Linked DNA regions of Schizosaccharomyces pombe. The protein of the gene in region 3 purifies or fractionates together with the protein of the main gene of each other region. This does not show direct contact. Each region holds a gene or a part of one and is shown on either strand. Other genes may lie near its edges.

Region 1 (8,811 bases), on a different chromosome or scaffold from region 3:
AAGCCAGCTATGGATGACGAATTTGATTGGGATTCAGTAATTTGTGTTCTTGAAAGTATCTCTTCACCCATTAAGGACAATGTCTTACCTAAAAAATTCAATATCGATTTAGAGTTGACGACTTTTTGGTATGGGCGATTTTTGTTAGAAGGCATCAACAGTATAAGCTCCGATGAGTTCATTCAGTTATGGGATAATCGTCTTCCGTATCCTTGTAAAGGACTTCCTTCTTTGAATTTATTAAAGGTAGGGCATTTTAGTCAGCTAATGCTAAAACTCTTTAGGGTTATTATTTTCACGATACCCCAAATACGATTCAGTATTTATCAGGAGATCAGTTACCGAGAGAACCAAGTAGGCGGTTTCAATCTTTGTTTCAACTTAAGTCGAAATGGTTATATGAAGAACTTTGGAGTTTCGTTAAAGATCTTGCCTTGTCGAAATCAAGAGTTGAAGCTCTTATATTGAAATATGGGCGAAAACAAACCAGTAGGGACGGTGTTTACATTAATTCTAGAGGGACATGGTAAAACCTTATTTGGCCGGTACTATACAGGTTGAAAACTTGATTTTATTGTACATTATTTTCGACAGGATTATGAAATCAATTAAAATTTTAATCAAACTTAAGTTTTAAATATTAAGACTCTGGGTTTTATCAACAATTTCTGAAACAGATCTAGGAGCAACATCATAATGAAAGACAACGTCGTCTCCAGATCGCCAAATTCGAGCCTTAACAGTTGCCAATGTCATTTTGGGGGTAACGACGACATCTTTGCATCTAAATTGAAGGGATGATACATCCTTTCTTTGTTGGCTAAGCTTGCTATAGCTATAATCCATAATTTTCTGAGCACGAAGCATAGCACTAGCACTTAAACGAGTGTTTTCATTTACAATAAGCGGTAAACCACTTCCAGGAAAAGGCTGAAGAGTAAAATTAACAGTAGGGGCAGTTTTAGAAGGAAATTCGTTTAATAACAGTAATCTTCCAAGCCAAAAGGGCATAATATTTTCAAGTAAGTCAATATCGTCAGCCATGTTCTCAAGAGTAGAACGATATATGTCACGAGAATTACCGGCTTCAGGAGATTCTTCGCTGATGATAACAGTAATCTGACTCGAAAGATTTAACATGGGAAACGTATCATCGTTTGGTGGTTTCATTAAACTAAGAACGGTGTCTTTATCCTTAAAATGTACATATTGTTCATGAAGATCTTCAATCAACTCACCAGTCGTTTTCAGCTCTCGCGGGGTACCAGGTGATGATGCCTCTGAAGTTTGTTGCTTATCTTTAGCTAGTGTGTTATTTTCTGTATTTGCAGCATTATTAACAGTATTATTAGTTTTAGACAATGCTTGCGGAGAAGTTACCGAAGTCCCGGTACTGAAAACGCGGCTTGACGCAGCTCTCTCTACAGAAGCTTTCATAAAATCGGTTTGTAATGATTTGGATGACTTTGATCTTCCAAGTTTTTTAAGTCTGCCCATAAATGAACCTTCACGAGTTACTTTGGGGGGAATTATCTCTTTCGTTCTCACAACAGTAGGGGATCCAACTACCTCAGTATGTGGCTTTCTGTTACGATTTTGCCTGGCGGGGATCGAAAAGTAATCTGGCGCACCCATCATAGAATCTGTATCTGTTAAATTTGTGTAAACGGGGTTGTTTGATGGAATTTGAAGAGACGGACCAGGACTTTCGGGGGGAGGCTCGAGGGGGAATGGGGTAGCGGAATAATCTATAGTAGGAGAAAGTAAAGGTTCTGGAGGAAGAGATAAAGGTGATGGACGAGATCGAATCCTCAATGGAGACAAAGCTGATGGCATATTCACATTTCCCTTTCTTGCTTCTTCTCTCTGGGCTTCTATCTGCTTCTTAGCTTCAGACCTTACAACATCTAAATTTTGTCTAAATTTTAAATCACGATGAAGCTCGGCATCAATAAATTCACGAAATAAATTTTTTAAAATCCACACCCCTAAGTTTATTCTTTTATCAGAAGGGGAATCAACCTTCAGAAGAGGACATTCATCAGCATAAATTTCGGCATCCATGTAGTGATTTTCATCAAGAGTAACAGCAAGAATCCCCAAAAGGCAATTAACAGAAGCCCACCTAGGTATTGCTTGAACAGTATCCAAACTTTGAACAATCTTTTCAAAATCTTCTGACTTATCAAATTCCCCGGCTTGCTTACAAGCAAGTATATCCCACAAACATTTATTGCCGACAGCGTCTTCAGTTAAGACATGCCTTCGATCACCCAACATTCGATATTTTAACAAACCAATACCACCATGAATAACATAATCAGGGGTTTTGGTTAAATTGATGTTAGAATAGCTCTCAGTATGATGCAAATCATAATATATATCCTCAGCATCGTCGTGATATAATGTTGGACAGCTATGATTTCGTATGTCAGAAGAATGTCTCGAGGGACAGTCCGATGATACAGAAAGATGAGATGAGGTATGCTTAGATAATGCTGCTCCCACGTCCTGATTAAAGAGGGGCTCATCCTTCCAACGAAGAATGGAGCCATCACGACTAGTACTCCATATGAAAGATTGACGAGCAACAATGTCAGAGACAGGAGCATCCTGCTTGCATATTGCAGTACAGCTTTGGTTGTTAGGCTGGTTTCTTATATCAGTACGAGTAATCAAGCCTGAGCGATCACCAGCATAAAATACTTTTAAATCTGGGTGCTCAGAATATAATGCCCATACACTGTCTGAATGAGCTATGAAAGAGAATAAACATTTTTGCGCCCTTAGAGACCAAAGCTTTATTGTAGCGTCTGAAGAGGCTGTGAGAATTGTTCTGCCATCATCACTAATTAGAATATCTCGAACATTGTCAGTATGACCGACTAAATCTGTAATCCTTTTCTTGGAAACACAATCCCATAACTGAATGTCTTTTTGTAGTCCGCCGTTAGCAATTATGTTGTTATTCGCTGCCAGCGAGTAAACACCAGATCTTGGACCAACAACAAGAGAACAGTCAGGTAACTGTTCAAATCGCATAACTTCTTGACCTACGTTGTAGTCCCATACAATTATCCTTTTATCCAACCCACCCGAAGCGACTAACGGACTCTTGGAATATTTGGGAATGCTTACGCGCTTTACGTAGTCGGTATGCTCGCCAATTGTTGATAAACAAGAAGCATTCAAGACATGTGGCTTCCAGAGTTTCACCGTTGAATCAGAAGAACAAGATATCACTAATAAATGTTAGAACGTCAATTTCTATAAGGCTACCGCTATTCTCCAGAGATAATTAAATTTTTCAAAGGCTTACCTCCTTCGGAATCATGTGTTAAAGCTATATCATTTACCCAAGCAGAATGAGCCTGGATTTTGGCTAAGGGCTGGGAAGCTTTACCATAATCATACCCGATGTCCCAACCGAAAAGCTGTCCATCTCGGCCACCACTGTAAAGTGCTCTAGTAACTGGTGCTGACCCTTGTTCTGAAAAGTACCGACCTAGCACTAGACAATTAGCATCCAAACGGTGCCCTAGTTGATCGTTACAGGAATCAAGAACATAAGTAACCTTGTACCGTTTCCGAACACTCATGAGAACAATAAATGAATTATTAATCTCTTAAAACAATGCAATTATAAACAAAAAATCCAATTCAAACGTAAAAAATAAAAATTTATATTATATGATGTCGAATTCAATTTATTGAATGAATTCAGGTTCAAAAGTATTGCAGAAAGATAGTGTGTCCTGAGTCTAAAACGCAGCGGATAAATAAACCCTTTTACTTGGAAACAGGAAACAGTAATGGATCCAAATATTTTGGTAGCGAGTACCTATACAAATATATTATATGTTTTGACTTAGCGATGAATAGCAATTCCTCAAATAACTCAGATGTTAAAGAACGGATCCTACTGCTCATTAAAAATGGATGGAAACGATGAACTTCCAAACCATTTACCTACTAATAAGTAGTCCGATCGATATTGGCATTTGATAAAGCAATAATTAGGCGGCTGATGCTAAGAATTGTAGATAACATTATGTTTGAGCTCGACGAAAATAGAATCAAGTTAGGAGATTCGTTAAAGGATTTATCACCACGTCCTAAATGTCGTTAAATTTTGGTAGTACTCCAAGTGATATAGAAAGATGCTAACGTATGTACATTCATTTTTGTAAAAGTTATTTCTATAATGAATGATCAAAATGAGCGGCGTTTGGAAACTCTGTCTGGGCAGGTTTCTTCTTTGAAAAACGTAACCTACGATATTTATTCCCGTGCCAATGACTATACTCGAATTGATCGGGCTGTATGTAATTTAAAAAAAAAAATTTGAGTTTTTACCTAACCTGTATTATTATAGACTGAAAGCTTTTCAGGACTTTCAAATTCTGTTAAAAAATCCACCGAAAATTTCTTCCGTGTGGTTCGAAGTGCCGGACGACGAAGAATCATGACAATGGTGCTGGCAATCGTAGGGAGTATACTAATAATCTACTATGCATCCAAATGGTTTTTTTAACACGACATGAAAGCGAATGCTACATAAAGGAACGGATATAATGACATAACCTCCTGCTTCAAAATTATAAAATGTACAAGCTTTGAATTCTTATAGGCAATAAATTTATCGATGAATATTCTGAAGATAAATTTGAAAATATAAGCGCAGAATTACATGAAATATTCTTAACGAAATACTACTCCTTCCTCGAAATTTCAATAAGTCCACCATAAAAGTAAAAATAATAAAAAATTTAATTATGACTGTATATCCATATTAAGCTTGATATTCCTCACTTTTAGGAAAGAGTTTTAAGCAAAGAGACGCAGTACTAATTGAATAGAATCATGACATTGTGCCACAAACTAAGTATTCATTCACCTTCAACCGGCAAAAAAAAAAAAAAAAAGATCAAAAGGAAGGGCACAAAAATAAATAATAATAAAAATTTTAACACCTTAGCTTCACGTTCAAGCTTTGTGCATGCAGACCATGAGATGTTTGTATTGATTTAGGCTTTTTTAAGAACACAGCATTCAAATGTACGGAAGTACAGGTAATGAATACTCTTTTTCCGATGTTTGCGCAAAAATTTAAAAATAGTGCTCAAAACTTCAATTTCTTCTTGAAAATCCAGATGGAAGCATACGCGCCCGTCTTAAAGCGTCTAGTGCGTTTCGGTGACTTCCTACACGAGCTGATGTGGGCCTATGCGGGGCAGAAGACGATCCATTTGGATTGGAGGCTTGAGAAAGATGAGCTAAAGAAGCACTACTGTGAGATGGGCTTATACCCGAAGAAGAAGATGTGGAGTGTTCGAATGACCTACGACTATCCAAGGATTGTCGTGTACTTTCAGTTGGAGAAACAAAAAATGAAGGAGATGTACGTTGTGGTGGAGTAACGATACCAGGTGATGGAGGACGTGAAAGGTGCTCAATTCGTGCAACATCTTCATAACTAGGTAATGTTGATTGTAAGGGTGATTCTAATGGAACGGCTGATCTTGTTGCTTCCTTATAAGAAGGGACTCTGCTCAGATCTGCCAAACTAGTTTCTGAAGGGTTTCTAGTAATTACAGCAGAGGCAGCTCCACTGGATGGATTAGAGCCTAAACTGAAAGAAGGCGGGAAATCTTCAGGATGATTTGACGGTGAATGTTCGTTGGGGCTCCTTCCTTGCGGTTGTTGTTGTAGAGCCAACTCTGTCAAACCAGCAATGAGTTGTCGCCTATGAGCTTCATTAGAAGCATAGGTGGGCTCCATAGAATCGCGTCGCCTTGGTGTAGTTGCGCCACTAGGGAGAGGTGTATCAAGGTTGGAATAGCTCAAACCATCGTAAAGACGATCATACATGCTGTTTTGATAGCTAGGTAAAGGCTGATTAAAACTTTCAAAATTCTCGCGTAACGACTCTACTTCGGCACGATCGCCAAATAATTGAGGAGGTATCATCAAGACTACAGGTAATGCAGCTCTTAATTCTGATATATGGCCATCAGGATTTCTTAGGGAAACGGAAAACTTTAATTTGTGACGTATTTTAATTCCATCCAAATCACAATCCTGAAGACATTCCACAAGAGAACTTGGTAGTTCCAAGTTCTTTGTAAGTTCATAGTGATCGGAAAACTCCTCCAATTCTTCGGTTTGAAGAGAACGAACGGTCCTGACTTCATCTTTCGATGCCGGTAAACCGTTATATCCATGAGCGACATGCAACGTGATGTATTCTTTCAAGGTTATACTGATTTTTCCAATAGTTAGCCTCTTCAGCAACGGAACTAATACAAAATGAATGGGAATATATGACCCAATTGCATAGGCTTTTGTTGGAACGCTGATGGTATACTCAATTTTGTTTGGCCAAGTATTATCAACGCTAATGGTTTGAGTATATTCAATGGCATCCGCAGGCAATGCTCGAATAAGACGGATGTGTTTCTTTTTCACCATTTTGCTAGCTAAACCCGTTCTATCGATGCTTGCTTTAAGACGATAAACAACATAGCAACTTTGAAGACCTTCGACAGATTCAGCAATATCACCGGGAAGCATTACGTGAAACGGATACTCGTAGTTTCCAGCACGTAAAGTACGGTTGGCACCCGTATAAGGAACGAAGATCCAGTTTTTCTCGTAAACAACATATTCTTGCTTATTGTGTCTTTGGCCGCCTCTTACAGTCGGAGAAGGTTCTGACCAGGAGATGCGACATTTTCCCACTAGTTTTAGAGATATTGCTTTGACACTGATGGCTTCATTGAGACACAGAACTACAGATCCTGACAGTGGTGTCGGTTCTGCCGAGTCTGCTAGGCCTTGAATTACGATAAGATCATGCTCTGCAGCTACACGAATATCGAAGTAGGAAGCGACATTTTCTTTCCTTGAGAGAATATTCATCTCTAACACAAGGAACCAATTTTATATTTGAAAAGGGATTCAAAAGTAAGAATAATGAATTCTCTCTGAAATATTTAGTCAACAATTTTATGTAAATAACTATTACAACCCAAAAGACCCCGGCTTTGGATTATTTGAGAATGTACTACCCTGAAACAATTAGACAAAAAAACGAAAAGTACCGTGTTAAAAAATTTCCCTTAAAATTTGATTTGTGTATACAAAAATGCAAAAATACTTTTTCTTGGGGTTTATAACTTCAATAATGTAGACAAAGCGAAGGTTAAAGGACTGTTGTGTGGTGACGTTTTTATAAGCAACCTGCTGTAATATAGTATTACATACTTTCTCACATTACATAAACAAAGTTTAGCTAGTTTCGTTATACACACTATTGTGTAAATTTTAAACAATTTTAGATGTTTCACTAGTTTGTACGAAGTAAATAAAATTTTTAAAATAGTCGTGTTTTTTATATATTAAGCGGGACTGTTTTCGTATCCCTCATTCATAGCTATGCAACGAAATACCCGGGCAAGCTTGATTCAGTGGACAAGGTACGTTATTGGGTTTTACTAGAGACAGATGTGCAGAATATTGGTAAGAACCTTCTTTCCCCACTTTAAACTTTTCATTACATTTTTTCTTAAACATCACATAGTAAAAATAAGTGCTATGCGTTTGAATTTTTCAGTTTTTTGCTGTTTATTGATACCTTCAATCGACTCTCATTCACCATCGATATATAACAAACTCCTTTCTTAACTAACCCCTCTACTCTATAAACATTAGCACAACTTAATCTTCAGTTTAATTGAAATTAAGTATCCCACATTGTACAAATACAATATAGCAAATATGAGTGGCTAGAATAATACAGCATTAAAAGTTTGAGTTTTGAGTGTTAACCAAATATTTAATAAGCTTTATGATTAGTAAAGGACAGTAATCCTGAGACACGCTTAATAGTCAATAGCACCTTTTTGGTATTATTATTTGAATCTCGTGTAGTGTGACTCGCTTTCTATAGCCTCATTGAACTTTCCATCATTATAGCAAAACTTTTAATTCACAATGCATTACCGTTTTTGGAATCAATTCGCAAGACTCTGATATATATCGAGGAATGGTTTATTTTCATTTTAATTTATAAGTGTGCCTCTGAACAATTACGAATTATAGATGTGGATATCATTGACGTCTCATTGTTATTATTTTTTACATTGCTAGTGTGTTTCCTGCTTCTGTTATAAATGTTGCACAACTTGTAGAGCTATTAAAAAAAAATATTATTTTAGATGTTTCTATAATATCAAATATCGTTACGTATCCATCGAATAATTACAAGAAATTAAGACTAAACCCAGATTACAAACCTCTAATCAAATGCAACTGCTGAATCCAATCCCCCCACTTAACGTATTGCTACAATAATCTGATCCAGTGTTATGCTACAATTATACACTATCTCTGAATTAACGTAATGGAGCATTAATGATTTTTAAAAAAGGTAATACTTTCGCTAGTTTGTATAGCAAAGCAGTCAAGTCACTTCTCCACAAAGGCAGGTTAGGAGGTTACCAAATGTTTGGGTAAATAATTAGACGTATGCATGTAATAAGAAAGAAAGTTGTACTAACGTAGTTACTAGGTGTTAAATAAAGCTTTATCCTTTATTTTTTATTTTTTAATAGTACCTAAATTGTATAAGTTGGAAACCAAAAAATAATCTGTAAGTAAAGAGAAAAAATTTGTTCATAAATTCGAATAGCGACATTAAAGCAAATTTTCTTTGTATAAATTAAAATTAAAAAAAATTTTAATCTTAAATGTTTACATCGCGAACAGTAATGTAAAAAGTTGCACAATTGGCAAAATCAAATTTAGGAA
Region 2 (7,534 bases), on a different chromosome or scaffold from region 3:
ATTTTCCTCCAGTTCTTGACGAAGTTCATAAGCTTCCATTAATGAATCATCAAGGAATTCTGCATAGTCTAATTCCAAAGAATAGGCTTCAGGCACCGATTTAGACAATATTGAATCCGGATGTTTTGCCAGGTACGTTATGACAGTACGCCAGAGGTATTCTTTCCTGATTAAAGCCTTGCGAATCACATAAGAGCAGCAAAGTTTTGTTTTTGGGTTCTTGTAAACTTCGTCAAAGTCGATATCTTCGTACTGTGCCCATTGAAAATTTGCTTCCTTCGCTGAATTTGTAAAAGTTAACTCTTTTCCACTATTCTTCAACGCAGATATGATTTTTGGCTCTGCATACTCGTCACGATAGTTGACATAAACTTTTATGTCTTTCTTAGTAGAAGACATGTACGAAACTACCTTCTTTGGACTTTCTAGAGTTGGGGTAGGAGGATACAACGAATATTAAAAAATATAAAAGCGCAATTCTTTAGTAGGGTGAAAGAAAAAATAGATCATAAATACATACTATACTAAAAATTACAAATAACATTAAAATTGGATAGCTTCATTAAGATTTGTCATATTGGGAATAAGAAGGGCTTTAACGATAACATCTATTGACAATATAACTAATACTTTATAGTTTGGGCTCTGAAATGAATAACTCTTCTCTTACAGTCTGTTAATGAACTTTGCATATCTTTAATAATTGTTTTTGCAAAACAAAGAGAAGACTTGAATATGTAAGGGAAAAAGCATGAGCTAGCACACCAACTGAAAAATTGAAAAGTGTTACTCAAAACACAAATTAAAATTTAAATATACAGATTTAAGATTAGTAGCAAAAGAGCTATAATCACTGTTAACCAAACGTCAGTATTTGAAAAAAGAAAAAAAAACATAGTTATACAGTAAGTACTATAATATTGAGAAAACAATGAACCAAAAACTTAAGGCATCTAATGTGTGTTTATGGACGTTGCCATGTTCGAATTCTTCCGTTTGTAGCACATGTTATCATACAGTCAGGATCAAAGAAGACGGAACTGAGAGGACTATCATCGACATCGTAAATGGTAATAGGTGATATAACAGGTATTAAAGAACGAGATAATGTAGGATGGATAGTAATATCGCCGTTCACATAATTTGAATTGTCAATTTCTGATCCCATTGTTAAATCACCGACATCATCAAAATCACTTATAGCTGGTTTAGAATTATTAGAATGATGATTCACATAATAAACTGCAGACTTGGGTCTATGAATAGCGCTCACACTGAAATCCCAGAGTAGTAGTTTTCTGTCGAGTCCTACACTAGCTATTCTATAATTATCATCATCACATCTCCAAGCATCAAATATCACATCGGTGACCCAAGATTTATGGCCTTGACAGCGAGCTACTAACTTTCGTAAAGGAAAGGAGTATATTGAAACCAGATCATCTTTACCTCCTATAGCGATAAATTTACCATCTGGAGACCAGGTGACACAGGTTAACCCAGCAAAGTAACTATGAAAAACATCAAGGACGTGTTCCTTCACAAAATCAAAAAGCTTCAATGTTCCTCTCTCAGAGACGAGTGCCAGGTATTGATAATCGGGACTGAAACAAAAGCCGTTAATCGGTGATTTTGAAAATGCATAGCAAGCAACCGGATTGAGTTTACGGTCATCTCGGTGATTAATACTTATGAGAATATTAAAGGTTCCTGGAGAACTAAGATATAAAGATTTTAGGTTTTTTTCCGGTACCACAATATGGAGTGGTTGCTCGTGACGATATTTGTCATAAAGCACAAGCCAACCATTGCGAAAAGATACCAAAAATTGAGAATCTTTGCCAGCAACCCACTTTATAGCGGTAACAGAGGAGCTATTCAGCTGTCCATTTTTGTTAAAGCGTAAATACTTGAAATTAATAGGATCATACCAAAGTACGTCGCCTGTATCAAACCCAATTATTACGTCCAAGCCCTTGGGACTTTTAGTAAAGGAATTTATATCATGGCAAACAGGTGATGCCCTTGGAAATTCCATTTTGAGTAAGGCAGAATGGGAATTAGCAGCACTCACATCAAGCCAATAAAACGATTTTTCGTGATTAGCAAACACAAAGGTTTTACCATGAATAGAAGGCTGAAAAGAACGTACTATGTTGTCATGAAATGTAAGGGAGGAGATAAAGGATTTAGCATTGATTAAAGGAGCACCAGCACGAGAGGCCGGTCTGTGAAGCTTCAAATAAGGAGTGTTAGAGGAAGAAAAGTTGTGGGACTTTCGTTTACTATTGCGATAATTTTCAAGAATTGAGGGGACATCTCTATTCTCTTCAACATGATGAACGCCATGAATTTTCTTAAGTTCTTCAATATATTCTCGTGGATAGGGGTAATCCCAACGGGAGAATTGAGCAATATTTATCCGCATAAAGAACAGACGTTTTACAGGCGTGTTTGGATCTAAAGGTGAACCGGTAATTTGAGGAGTAGAACGTGATGAACTGCCTAATTGAAATTCATCCTTCAAAACATATTCTCCCTCGCGAGCAGTTAAAAACAGAACCGGACGGGCAATTCCAGAAGACATCGTTTGCATAATATAGTTAGGTAAAGGATAAGAAGTGAAAGTTCTGCTGAAACAATCCAAATGGTAACGACCTCAAGTACTGAGAAGTTTCTATTCAATGAAGTCGTAAAAGACAATTAAGAAATGTATTTAAATTAGTGAATCTAGTAAGAAGAGCGATTTTTAAGCTACTGCTTTCTCTTTTATTAATCAATGAGAATTAAAATAGGAGTATACGAAATCGCATTCGAACAAATTAATTTATAATTAAAACTTATGCAGAAGACTGAATTTCCTGCAAAATCGTAAAATGTTCTTAACCGACTAGCTCGACCGTACAGTTTGTTGAAATCTTCTAAAGGAGTAGCGTGTCACTTATAATATGAAAGCGACATAAATAACGCTAATTAAAGAACAAACCCAATTTACGTTAATAAAAGGGTATGTGTTTCATTTTAACATTTATTGAAGCTGCTTGAGGTAAATATTTCAATACACTATTCTTTGCAATATTTGGATCAATCACATTTTTTAAAACTCATTAAATAGTTCAAATAAAGAACTCTTTAAACTTGCGTTAAAATATAGCAGATACATACTGCATTGCTTTGAAACAAAACTTTATTAGCACTTTGCACGATTATATTGTATCCCGTTAACCATCACTATATACTACGTGTCAGGAATTATTTACGTTTCTGTCCCCTTGGGTACTCTTCATTGCTTTTTTATATTCAAAAGCTATTTAAGAATAAGGATAATGCAATGGAACTTCTTTCTTTAGTATAGTTTTTAAGTTATTCGTAAAGTGTAATACTATTTAGTATCTATAATTCTTAATATAACCAAATCATTGGCAAATTAACTGTGTAAAATAATTTTGATCACTCAAAAAACTTATCGTTGTGTTATAGCTTTATAATGTTATGAGCTAGTTAGTAAGGCCCTATTATACAAGAATTTCGAAAACGGTGAAATTTGCAATATTTGTAACTTGCAAGAAGTGAAAATTCAGCATTTATACGTTTTGTGAGTGTAGTATATTTTCACTCTTGGTCAAAATAGGCACGCTGAAAGTAGTGTAATCTATGAAGCTTTAATTTATATAGTGAAAAATACTGTAAATGGATTTCCTATCCTTGGTTTTCGGATTCATGTAAAGTTTGTTATGCAATCTAATCGATGCATTATTACCTTCCCTATTTCTCTACTCAATTGCCATTTTTTTTAAATGTATATTCTGTTCCTATGTATACATTATACTCTTTTTATCCTAGGAATTATTTAAAGATTTAATATTCAAGCCTAAAAAAATTGTAGAAACTAATTATTTAGTAACTGAAGATATAGCTTATAAATCCAATTGTTATTTCAGCTAGAAATGTTACTTCGATCGTCACAATATTCTTTTCTATTCCTAAAAACATTTTAAAAGCTAGTTGACCCTAAATGTGATTTATCAATAGAATCAATAATCTCAATCATTTAATAAGAGGGTAGATTTGATCAAATTCTAGTTGTATGAAATTACAATTCGCAAAAATTGACTGAAACAACCAAGGGTTGGGTAAATCTATGGTGGTATAATGGCTTCATTCTTACCTACTCCACTTACGAACCTCCATCTTCTTAAATTTCACAGTAGAAGGTAATTGTAAAAGAAATATTGTGACAATAAATTTTAAAAAGATTAGCAAAAAAGAATATTTAATTACATAAAAATGTCGAATGTGCAACGTAAAAGAATTGATATTCGTCGTCCCACCCTTGCGGAGCTGTCGAGTATTCGATCGATTGCCATGAATGCGTTGAACGGTCAATCGAGAAATCTCTCTCAAAAAATCTTTTGGCACCCGTTGTATCTTGCGGTTTTTGGTTTGGTGTTTATGGGGATATATCGCTTAACAAACATGGTAGAAGGAAATACAAAATTACGAACTTTTGTTTTATTAATATTGGTTAGCGCTGTCTTTTTGACGTTGATTGAATTTCCCTGTAGAAATGTGTATGCAAAGATTAGCACTGAAGACAATCAACCTGACGGCTGCTTGGCTGAAGAGAATCTTAAACATTTTTATATGGCCCGCATTGACAAAGAACGAGTTATTGGTATTATAGGTATCTTGCCTGCAAATGCTCCTGGTGCATACCAAAACACACCAACTATTGTCCACTGGACTGTCATTCCTAAATTTTATCAGTATGCGTTTGATCTCCTAGATTCAGCACTTCGTGAGGCGAAGGAGATGGGTGCTGACGTGGTCTCAGCACGAGTTTATTCAACCGACCCAATGTTGAAGGCTTTTGAAAGAAAAGACTTTACTCCTGTAGTTGATGAAGCTTTCGATTATCTATCGTTTTTCGGATTGCGCCGTTTAGTGCTTCAAAAGAATTTGAGCGAACAACCTGGTTTTGAAAATAGAAGATAGATTATTTAACTTTCCGCAAATATTACCCTTTCGTGCATGTAATTGCGCAGCTACAACTTGTTTTTCGCTGTATGTTCATATTTTAAATCTTTTTGTTTTGTGTTTATTTTTTTCGTGAAATAGTTACGAAAGAATTTCACGACGTTCAAGTAAATTTCTACCTAGGGCAAAAACTAGACCCACCGTGTTGTTGAATAATTGTTAAAAGTTTTAGAAACTATTTCATTACGTCCGCTCCATGTTCAAGAGTTCGTACCCGCTAGACTGTACAAAACAATTTGAATGTAAACTTAATATTATATAACTGATGTATGTTAGTGAATACTAAGTGAGCATCTCATTTCACTATCGTCAATTATGCTTGTAAAAACACAATCGATCGACTACAAAAGTACGTTTAACGAGTGTGAATCAAAGCTGAATCAATAAATAAAATACAGCATCTTGCAAATAAAAAACAAATTTAAAAATATTTAATGACAGTAAAAGACAGAAAAAAACAATAGTACTTAGAGTAATAACGTATTACTATAACACATACTACGGCAACATAATGGTGCGCCCTTGTTGTCGACGCTTTTGCCATCTCCCTATGTCAACAGCACATTCCGCCTTAAACAAGAGATCATAGAAGGATCAAATTAAAACTGGGATTTTGTCTCCTTGGTTCAGAAATTACTTGATTGTTTTGTTGGATTGTAATTAACAATCACTCCAATCGCTCGCCGAAAGGCTTCCAAATTTTGTTTATTAAATTAGCCTTTCTGAGCGACATTTTGTTATTTCATGTCTGTTCAAGCGTATACGAATACTCCGAATTTACCGAATTTAATACATAGTGAATCTATAACCAACTCACCTGTGTTTATACCAAACCTACGAAGTAAGTCCGACAACAAACATAGATTAAACACTTCTGAAGAATTGCCATTTACAAAGAAACGCAGAGCAACTAAACATTTTTTAAAAATGGAGGTATCTGCCAAAATTTCTGAACCACCTTCTAGTAAAAGTGTGGAATTTGGAAGGCATTTAAATATGCGGCATGATTTTTCCGAATTGCTTGAACAACCACTTACAACGAGCAAAACTAGGGTCTTTAAATCCTTTAATGAAAAGCTCAAAGGTAAACCCCAGTTAGTGAAATCCGATAAAGGTGTGTTGCCTCTTAATAAGCAATCGGATATACTGAATTCTTATGAACGCGTTTTAAGCAATGCTTCGGTTGATTCTGCATTAGACAAAAAGGCGGAAGTTGATATCATTCCATTTGATAAATCAGTTATGGAACCAAAGAACATAACTTTTAATGACAAAAGTGGCTTAACCAAGTTTGGGAATTCAAACTCTTATGAAACTACGTATTCTGACTCCAGCAACTATCATACTTCTACTGATTCGTCCCAATATAATGACCAAGATGACCACGTCTATGATGATACTAATGATGGAACTGATGATGATATAAATAATAACGAGTACAAAGACGATGAATCCAGTAGTGGCAGTGAAAGTTATGAAAGAGATGAAGATGTTGATGAAGAGGAGGAAGAAGACGATGATGAAAACAATGATGAGGGAGACGATGAAGATGAAAATGAAAATGACGAGTTAAGAAGCGAAAACGGTTCACCTAATCCTTCAGCCGCTGTTATTAATGAACAAGAAAACATGAACATGAGTGGAATCGAAGAATACGATGAAACTAACTTGTTAAATGAACTGGGAAGAATCAGAAGAGGTAATCAGTTTCAAAGTTTAGCGTCTTCTATACTTTCTTCCGGTAATTTGGAGAACTCTGATGACGAAGATGTTTCTTTAGGTCCACAGACATACCGTTTCAATAGTTCCTTTCATCCTTTTCGTTCTGCATTTTCTGCTCCAGGTGTTCAATTTGGACGCTTGTTAGAAGGAATAAAGGATTTTAGTGATCCTACTGTTCAAATGCTTTCTCTTCAAGAACTTTCCGAAGCGTTTGCTATGAGTACTGAAGATATGCTTGTTGGATTGTTTTCAACCGATTCATACATTGCGGCTTTTTCCGAAATCTTATCTGGGCGAAATTATGATTTCGGAGAAGTCTCTATTCAACTTATGCTATCCTGTACTACCTGTGTATCTAATATGATGGAAGCTTTGCCTTTATGTATGGCTAAAATAGCATATAGTCCTATTGTTCGCATTCTGTGTGAAAGAATGTTTGATATGCAATACATTGATATTGCTGAACAAGCTTTAGGAGTTTTAGAACGGCTTTCTAAAGATTTTGGTATTTGTATTTTGGAACACAGAGGAATGTTAGCTGCTCTCCAATACTTTGATTTTTTTTATACTACAGTTCAACGGACAGCTATTTCTCTGGCTGCTAATTGCTGTAAGTTTTTGGATGAATCCAATGCTTCCGCAGCAGAAGAAATTATTCCATTGCTTTCTAATATTCTACAATCTTCTGATACCATAGTCGTTAGTAAGGCATATTCTTGCCTGGAGACAATTATTGAATCTTTGAAAACTTCACCAAACATAATTGAAACGATAA
Region 3 (7,716 bases):
CAAACTCGAAGGTTTGTTCTTTGAACTCACGATAAGTTTTTTTTCTTGTGATTGTAAAGGCTTGTAGTCATCAAGGATCTTGAAACATAACAGTTGATATATTTTTCATTTTTTTTGTTTTAAAATACCCACTTTATTAGTTCATCATGTCTACCCCCTTGATACCTCCTGCTCCTCCTAAAAAGACCCTTCAGCTTTACACTCCCCAATACTACGGACTTTGTACATTGGGTGGTTTGTTGGCTTGTGGTACTACGCACAGTGCCATTACCCCTTTGGATTTAATCAAATGTCGCAAACAAGTCAATCCAAATATCTACCCTGGTAATATTGCTGGTTTCAAGACTATCCTCAGCAAGGAGGGACTTCGCGGTCTGTATACCGGTGGTATGCCCACCTTGATTGGTTATTCTCTTCAAGGCTGCGGTAAGTACGGTTTTTATGAGTTGTTCAAACACAAATACTCTACTTTGGTTGGTGCTCAAAAGGCACATGAATACCGTACAAGCATTTACTTGGCTGCTTCTGCCTCTGCTGAATTGTTGGCTGATATAATGCTTTGCCCTATGGAGGCTATCAAGGTCCGTGTTCAAACTTCCAACCCTCGTTTTGCCAACACCACTCGTGAAGCGTGGTCTAAAATTGTCACTAATGAAGGTTTCGGTACTTTATACCGTGGTCTGGCTCCTTTGTGGTTCCGCCAAATCCCTTACACCATGATGAAATTTGCTTCTTTTGAGCGCATTGTCGAAGCTTTGTACACCTACATTGGCAAGCCCAAGAACATGTATTCAAAGGCCGAAAAGATTGGTATTTCTTTTGCTGGTGGTTACATGGCCGGTGTTCTTTGCGCCATTATCAGTCATCCTGCTGATGTTATGGTTTCCAAGTTGAATTCCAACAAAAAGGCTGGTGAGGGCGCTGGCGCTGCTGCTGCTCGTATCTACAAGGAGATTGGATTTTCTGGTCTTTGGAATGGTCTTGGTGTTCGTATAGTCATGATTGGTACTTTGACTGGTGCTCAATGGCTCATCTACGATTCATTCAAGATTATGTGTGGTTTCCCTGCCACTGGTGCTTAAATGCACTATCGTATAGTAAACCTTTCATTTTATGGAACGTCGCTTTTTAAATTTCCCCCCACTTTCTCTTATAGGCTCTTAACAAGTTTTACTGTTTTATCAGTGTTTAAATTTATATGTAAATTTTGAACGTGTAGTTCCTTTTTCTGTAACTCTTAAGTGTTTTCAGGAGTATATATCAGCTTATGGAAGATGTGATTAGTATTTTAGCGTTTTCAACTAATGAAGTGAGTCATAAAAATTTGGGCTGTTGTGGGAATCGAACCCACGACCACCATCACCCTAAGATGGTATCATACCACTAGACCAAACGGCCAATTTGCATGTAAAGAGTAAGAGGAAATTATATTACAGATGATTTAGCAAGAAGTGTTTACAATATTAGATATGCAATAAGAGATTCAATTCATACAAATATTAATTGACTTCTTAATCCTGGTTCCATTAACTATTTAAATCGCAATTGACTAAATTGCGATTATACAGTTGACATAATATAATTTGTTCGACAACTCATGTGTAGTACTGTGTTAACTATTCGATGTTAAACCTTCATTGGCTTCTGTAGTGTTTTGTTTTTATCAATATTCCTCGCATTAATCGCTTTGATGTTAAATTTATTAACCTTGAATAAATACTACATTAACAAAATTTCGTATATAGCTTACAAAAAGAATAATGCATTTCGATTACCAAAACGTAAATCAGGTCTGATTGTTATATTAAATTTGGATTGTCATTGTACATTGATACTTTTCATTGTTAAAAAATTAATTCTATTATAACTTGTTATTTCAATTAGAAGAAGGGTCGATCAACTATTATTAATTATTGTTAAATCCTAAGTTCCCTAGTTTTTTAGCAAATAAACATGTAGAATTTAGGTTAAAAAAATTTTTCTCATTTTCAATTAAAAAATCTAATTTATATAAAGCTTTAAAATTGAAAATAAACACATATCCTGTTTTATCCGGAAAAGTTTACAAGATAGACTTAAATAATTATTAGATCGGAACCTCTTCATTGCTTAAGCATATAATTTAAACAATACTACAACCCTTAAAAAAAAAAAAAGTTGCCTTAAAACAATGGTTTCTATAAGGAACCAAATACTGTAACAACTTCAAGACCATTTTCAGAAAATACACTTAGCATCCAATTGTCCTGAAAATTGAACAAACTAAATTTTTTAAATTATAAAGCTGCTTTACATTAAGTCGATATGAATAAAAATAAAATGAAATAATGTATAATGAAATAAATAAAAATCTGTTAAAGAAAAGCTCTATATTGAAATATGCTATTCAAAGTATACTTAAGAAAATTGATAATATATGCATGGTAAATAGTATCTTTAAGAAAACAACAAGTAAATTTTGCAGTATCATGATTAATAATATTAACAATTCTAAGCACACTAATTACCTTAAATTCATGCTAAGACAAGGAGTAAGATAATCTTAATCGATTAATTTGTCACAACCAAAAAATTTCGAATTCGATGTATGAAGGTTGCCGTTCAAATTGGGAACAACGAGAAGAAATAGCAGATAAGCTACTTTTAGGAGTTTAAAGTCATAAATTTTCAATTATAAAAAGACATAATAGCAAAAATTGAATACCGCAACAGATAATTACGAAGACCAATCACTGTAGTACGCGTGTGTTAAAAATGAAACCTCGAGCGGTAAACAATATTATAAAAACCAGAAAAAGGCCAAAAGGTATAAACACAGAGAAATAACTGAATTCAAAGAATTAAAAAAGTGACATATGGATAAATAGAGCGCATGACTTTCAAAGTTGGCCAAAATTTCCAAATAAAGTCAAAAATATAAAGTAAAACGATGAGAGATGAAAACATTAAAAGAATTTCTCGAAAAGTGTAATAAAAAACACAAATAAGAATTCTTTACCTTTTGGAACGGCTTCTAGAGAATTGCCAAGGAAGCGTATGTGAGTGCTTCGACTCTGAATGTTCATCACTAGACTTGTGAGTATCCCTTAATGGTGAATCTTTAGGGGAGTTGCTTTGGGATGATCCAAAAAATTTACTTCTTTTTCGTGTAAGGGAAGGGAAAAACGAACGACTTTCGCGACGTACGGCTTTTGGAGAAGCATCAACAGATCTTGAATGAAATCTTTCTGCATCCAGTGATGGTTCACGATCAAAATAAGAACGGCTATTGATGTCTCTATCTAAAGTTTTATGAGAATACTGCGAAGAAAATGAAGCAACCATCGGATCCATATCAGGATATGTTATTGTCGAGTTTGATCTAGGGGTACTTGATAGATTCGAAACTTCCACGCTTTCTTGTTTAAGTTGACTTGGAATAGACATCGGCTTAATTGATTCCTTGGTGTCTACTTCACTAACATCATCATCTTCTTCATCAGCAGCAGTATAAAATAGAACATAGGCAGTAGCCTGACCAGGTTGATCACCAAAAAATCGTTGTAGGTAATTCTCGTTGACAGGAGTTACGTTCTCGTCATCAAAAAGGACCCAGCCATAAGTTTTAGTGCGAACGATAGACACATAATGACCACGATGTGGACCGCCTCCTACGTGAACAATAACAGAGGAAAGATAATACATTCTTTCAGCATTCTCTGCATCTTCGGTGGTAGTAAATAATCTCATTTCGTTGGTAAAAACAATAGTATAGAAGAGTTTATCATGGCCCTCCTGGGTTTCGTTATATTTAAAACGTTTCAAATGTAATGAGAGGATTTTCGGTAATTTTTTTATCTTCATTCTTTTTTCTGCTTCCTGCAAACTTTTGCAAACATCACAATGAAACTTATTTTTGGAGGACAACATCTCTGAAGCAGAAAAAGACCTTAAACAGGAAGTTACAGAAGTGTGATTTTCTATATCTATGCTAAGGTCTAAAAAGCTTTCATCCCTTGACGTTATGTTTTCACAAGTTAAACATTTCGTCTCGCTGGTAAGCGTTCCTTCAAACAAAGAATGAACCCATTTTGGATGCATCACGTCGGAATGATTACCGTAGTATTCATCAAGAGTTTCTGTAACAGAATTAAGAAGAAAATTAAAAAACTCGTGAGCATCTTGCTGCTGAGTACTGCGAAAAGCTTCATTGTCTCTACGTAGAACTTGGATAAAACGCTCGGGAGAACAAATACCATAACGACAATCACAGCAACTTACGGAGCAATAAAGATCCTTTAAACAAGTATATATGTTTTCTTTCATTCCATAAGCAGAACAATTGCTTTCGCCTACAACGATTTGATGCTTCGTCCCGGATTCAGAGCCGACGTTACTAATATCGACACAGCCGCAAGAATTTATACCATTGGACCCGTATAAAGAGGACTTCCTATTCTCCATGCTCTTTTTCTTACTGTGTCGTGAGGAAGATGATTCAGGATGGTTGGTTTTTGTACAAACGCTTTTAAAATTTGGAGGAGCACTCGGAAGAGGATACGAATTTAAAGAATCACGAAAGGGCTTTAAATGGTATAAAGATACTAAGACAGAACTCACGTAACTATTTCGTTAGAAATTTACAATCATAAAAGCAACGCTACAAGTATGATCGCCATACCATGTATTTCCATACTAAAAATATGTTAGAGCAGAAGAAATTATAACTAATAAAAATGCTTACATTTGTTAAACCATAGAATCGATCTGTTAGGGTTTCAGGGCGAATTGATGGCTTCGGCAACTCTGCTTCCCAAGTGCTTTTACGCCGGTCAGTGGAGCCTGGGGAATTCTATAGTTTGTCAGTCTTCAATTCATAACTAACAATTGAATTACCATTCCCATCCAACGAAGCAGCGACATGCTGAGTTGAACTAAAGGATGCTAAGTTTACAAACCAAGCACAGCGGGGAAGTGAACGCAAAGGGAAGCTTTCACGCGCTCAGAAAGGGGCGTACGTTGGTGATCATAATCTTAGGCTATTATTATATTAACAGCCAACTATCTAAAATAACGAAGTGCAATGTATTGTAAAATGAGCGATAAAACTCAGTAGATATTAAGTCAAAAAAGCTATAAATAAACCGTAACTAATTTTGGAAATGTGATCTGGTTAAACGAAGTATCAAATGTACAATAAATTAAAAGAAAGTAAACATCAGTTTGGTGAAATGGGAACAGATGAATTTCTGCAATGTATCAAAATTTACTCATTAATGCAAGTTATGTGTAATCGTAGTATTCACCATCCACTAACCTGTAGAAACCGATTTGGTGTTAGAAGATGGAGGATGATCTGCCTTTTCTGAGACTGTTTCACGTGGGATTTCCTTTGAAGGAGTGGCTTCTGCTTGCTCGTTCTGACTTGGCGTGTTTTGACGAAGAGTATGGAGCTCACGTTCAACTTTAAGAATGACTTTGTGGAGTTCGTCAAAATCCTTTTCGGTACTATCAATTTCCTCAGTCGAAGATTGGAGTTCATTCTTTTTCTTCTGTAAAACAAACTGCTTTTCCATGATTTCGTTAATACGAACGATTTCATGTTGTAAACCAAGAATCGCTTCAGCAACTTCATCTCGTCTATTCTTTTCCTTTCTACGAGCCCTCCATGTTTCAAATAAAATGGCTCCTCCAGCAACAGTACTGTAAATTGTTAGCAAGAGAAGAACATTGTGACAAGTTGGATTTCGTAGCTCCTTCACAATGTGCCGTATTAAGCATTGTGGAGAGGAAGTACGTCAAATCGTATTAATTTTCATACAATATAAAAGTTTCTGATAAAAATGTTGCACCAGCATCGACTGCTTTGGCATCGTTTAAAGGTCGTAATCGTACATTAGCTCCTCCACTTTTAGCTCTGTTAATTCCTGTTATTCTAAATTCCGCGCGATGCATCCATTGAGCAAATTCAATACATGCCTATATAGAAATTTCGTTAGTAATGCTATAAGATTCTCTTTATCATCTATTTTACTGATTTATACCTTTCGGAAAGCCTTGTGCTCTTTAGCTTGGGCTTTGATTGTATTGGCAATCGGTTTGGATAATGTTCTTACTAACAAGCTTCCGATTTTTAAGGCTAGAGAAGACATTGGATTGTAGAGAAATGTTAATGGATACCAGAACTTCAAAAATATTCGAGGGGGAATAAACCCGCAAAGGATTTCAAATTACCGACTAAAAGTACTACCACCTCAATTAAATAGAGGTATAAAAGAAAGAAATCTCCGATAAAATTAGAATGCAGATATAAGCGTGTAACAATAGCTAGGATATTTATGCAAGGTCGAAGATATACTCTTCCGTTAATCAATAGCAATATTTAAAACCGCAACACCAAGTGCGTGCTTTATTTTTTTAATCTATTAATTAGAAAAGTTATTGGAAGAGGAAAGTAAATTTGATGTTGCTGAACTTGATATGCATATTCTGTCGGTTTCTCTGATTGGTTTACTAATCCTTCTTACACCGATCCCTGTGTGTGCTTAATATTTTGCTTGTATTAGAAACTTTAGTGTCGCAGTTATCAATACTTGTCCTTAGTAGTACAGTTGTATTTTCATTTCTTAATGTAACGTACATACCATTCAACCTTTGACTTACTATTATATATTTGATTTTTAGTTAATGACTTTTGTTAGCGAACCGTATGTTATGCAAATAGTTCCAAGCAACTATAGTTTTAGGGAATACTGTAAAGTGCTAGTTAATGAGCAATACGCGTATTATACAACGTTTACAACAGTTTATCATATCACGCTACAAAATAAAGTACATAAGACTAGCAGTTTTCTACATAGCTTTGCTTAAGATTTTAAACTACCGTTGATAAAAGGGAAACGTAGCATGCATCCAAACCTACAAATAACTTTCTATAAGTATCGTAAAAACTCAGAAAGTAGATACCTAATATTAGCAGTTCACCGTCAGCGAATGAAACTCACAAAAGGAATGACAGCGAAGTACGTAAAACGTATGTATATAAAAATATATTAAAAGCGCATTCAGAGGTATAACCAACAAACATGTAGTTTAGCAGCAGTTGCTGGAACTTTGGGAAACGTTAGTGCCCTGACCAACCTTGACACTAGATTTGGCATTGGAAGAGGCAAATGTATTATTTCCCATACGTTCCTTAATTTGACGGGACATAGTTAAGAAAGCTTGCTCAACATTTGTAGAATCTTTAGCAGACGTTTCGAGGAAAGGAATATTCAAACTGTCAGCAAACTCCTTAGCAACAGAATATTCAACAACCTTCTTATCAACCATATCTGACTTGTTTCCTACAAGAAGACGATTGACTCCTTCAACGGCATATCTATCTATTTCCTGAAGCCATTGCTTAACATTGTTGAAAGAATCTAAGAAGCAAGCATTAGCCTCGGAACCGCGTCGGAAACAATGTGAAGACTAGAAAACGCCATAAAAATATCCCCCAAACGCCTTATAACGCATATACGCGCATATACAGAAAACGGAAGACAATCAAATTGGTTTTCCATACTTCACACATTACATACCTTGATCGGTAACATCGTATACGATGATAATTCCATGAGCTCCACGATAGTATGAGCTAGTAATTGTACGGAAACGTTCTTGACCAGCGGTATCCCACTATGATAAATCGTTAATAAAAAAATATCCCGGAACGCCAACGAGAAGTAAACTATC

Evidence for each region.
Region 1: the proteins of ubp9 (region 3) and bun107 purify together in Schizosaccharomyces pombe (affinity purification with western blotting; one study listed by BioGRID). This does not show direct contact.
Region 2: the proteins of ubp9 (region 3) and bun62 purify together in Schizosaccharomyces pombe (affinity purification with western blotting; one study listed by BioGRID). This does not show direct contact.

What each region holds. Positions count from the first base shown.
Region 1 is NC_003424.3:410,194-419,004, reverse strand, and holds bun107 (WD repeat-containing protein), read right to left. Parts: upstream 4,015-8,811; 5' UTR 3,600-4,014; coding exon 3,320-3,599; intron 3,243-3,319; coding exon 634-3,242; 3' UTR 531-633; downstream 1-530. Other genes in the region: Ctf18 RFC-like complex subunit Dcc1, read left to right, coding at 1-246, 285-530; SNARE protein Sft1, read left to right, coding at 4,205-4,321, 4,376-4,534; rod1 (arrestin/PY protein 1), read right to left, coding at 5,131-6,921. UniProt on the Schizosaccharomyces pombe protein: Required for the ubp9 recruitment to septa and cell tips but also for its enzymatic activity at these specific locations.
Region 2 is NC_003424.3:4,573,689-4,581,222, reverse strand, and holds bun62 (WD repeat-containing protein), read right to left. Parts: upstream 2,914-7,534; 5' UTR 2,597-2,913; coding exon 965-2,596; 3' UTR 501-964; downstream 1-500. Other genes in the region: pby1 (tubulin-tyrosine ligase), read right to left, coding at 1-399; acetylase Sdg1, read left to right, coding at 4,288-4,995; SPOM_SPAC12B10.01C (ubiquitin-protein ligase E3), read left to right, coding at 5,782-7,534. UniProt on the Schizosaccharomyces pombe protein: Required for the ubp9 recruitment to septa and cell tips but also for its enzymatic activity at these specific locations.
Region 3 is NC_003423.3:2,933,397-2,941,112, reverse strand, and holds ubp9 (ubiquitin hydrolase Ubp9), read right to left. Parts: upstream 4,962-7,716; 5' UTR 4,903-4,961; coding exon 4,876-4,902; intron 4,832-4,875; coding exon 4,724-4,831; intron 4,675-4,723; coding exon 4,661-4,674; intron 4,633-4,660; exon of another isoform or gene 4,604-4,632; coding exon 2,995-4,603; 3' UTR 2,351-2,994; downstream 1-2,350. Other genes in the region: SPOM_SPBC1703.13C (inorganic phosphate transporter), read left to right, coding at 147-1,082; mitochondrial outer membrane lipid metabolism regulator Opa3, read right to left, coding at 5,292-5,682, 5,801-5,958, 6,024-6,131; GTPase Ypt1, read right to left, coding at 7,072-7,403, 7,563-7,659. UniProt on the Schizosaccharomyces pombe protein: Ubiquitin C-terminal hydrolase involved in regulating actin dynamics and/or endocytosis at cell tips and septa.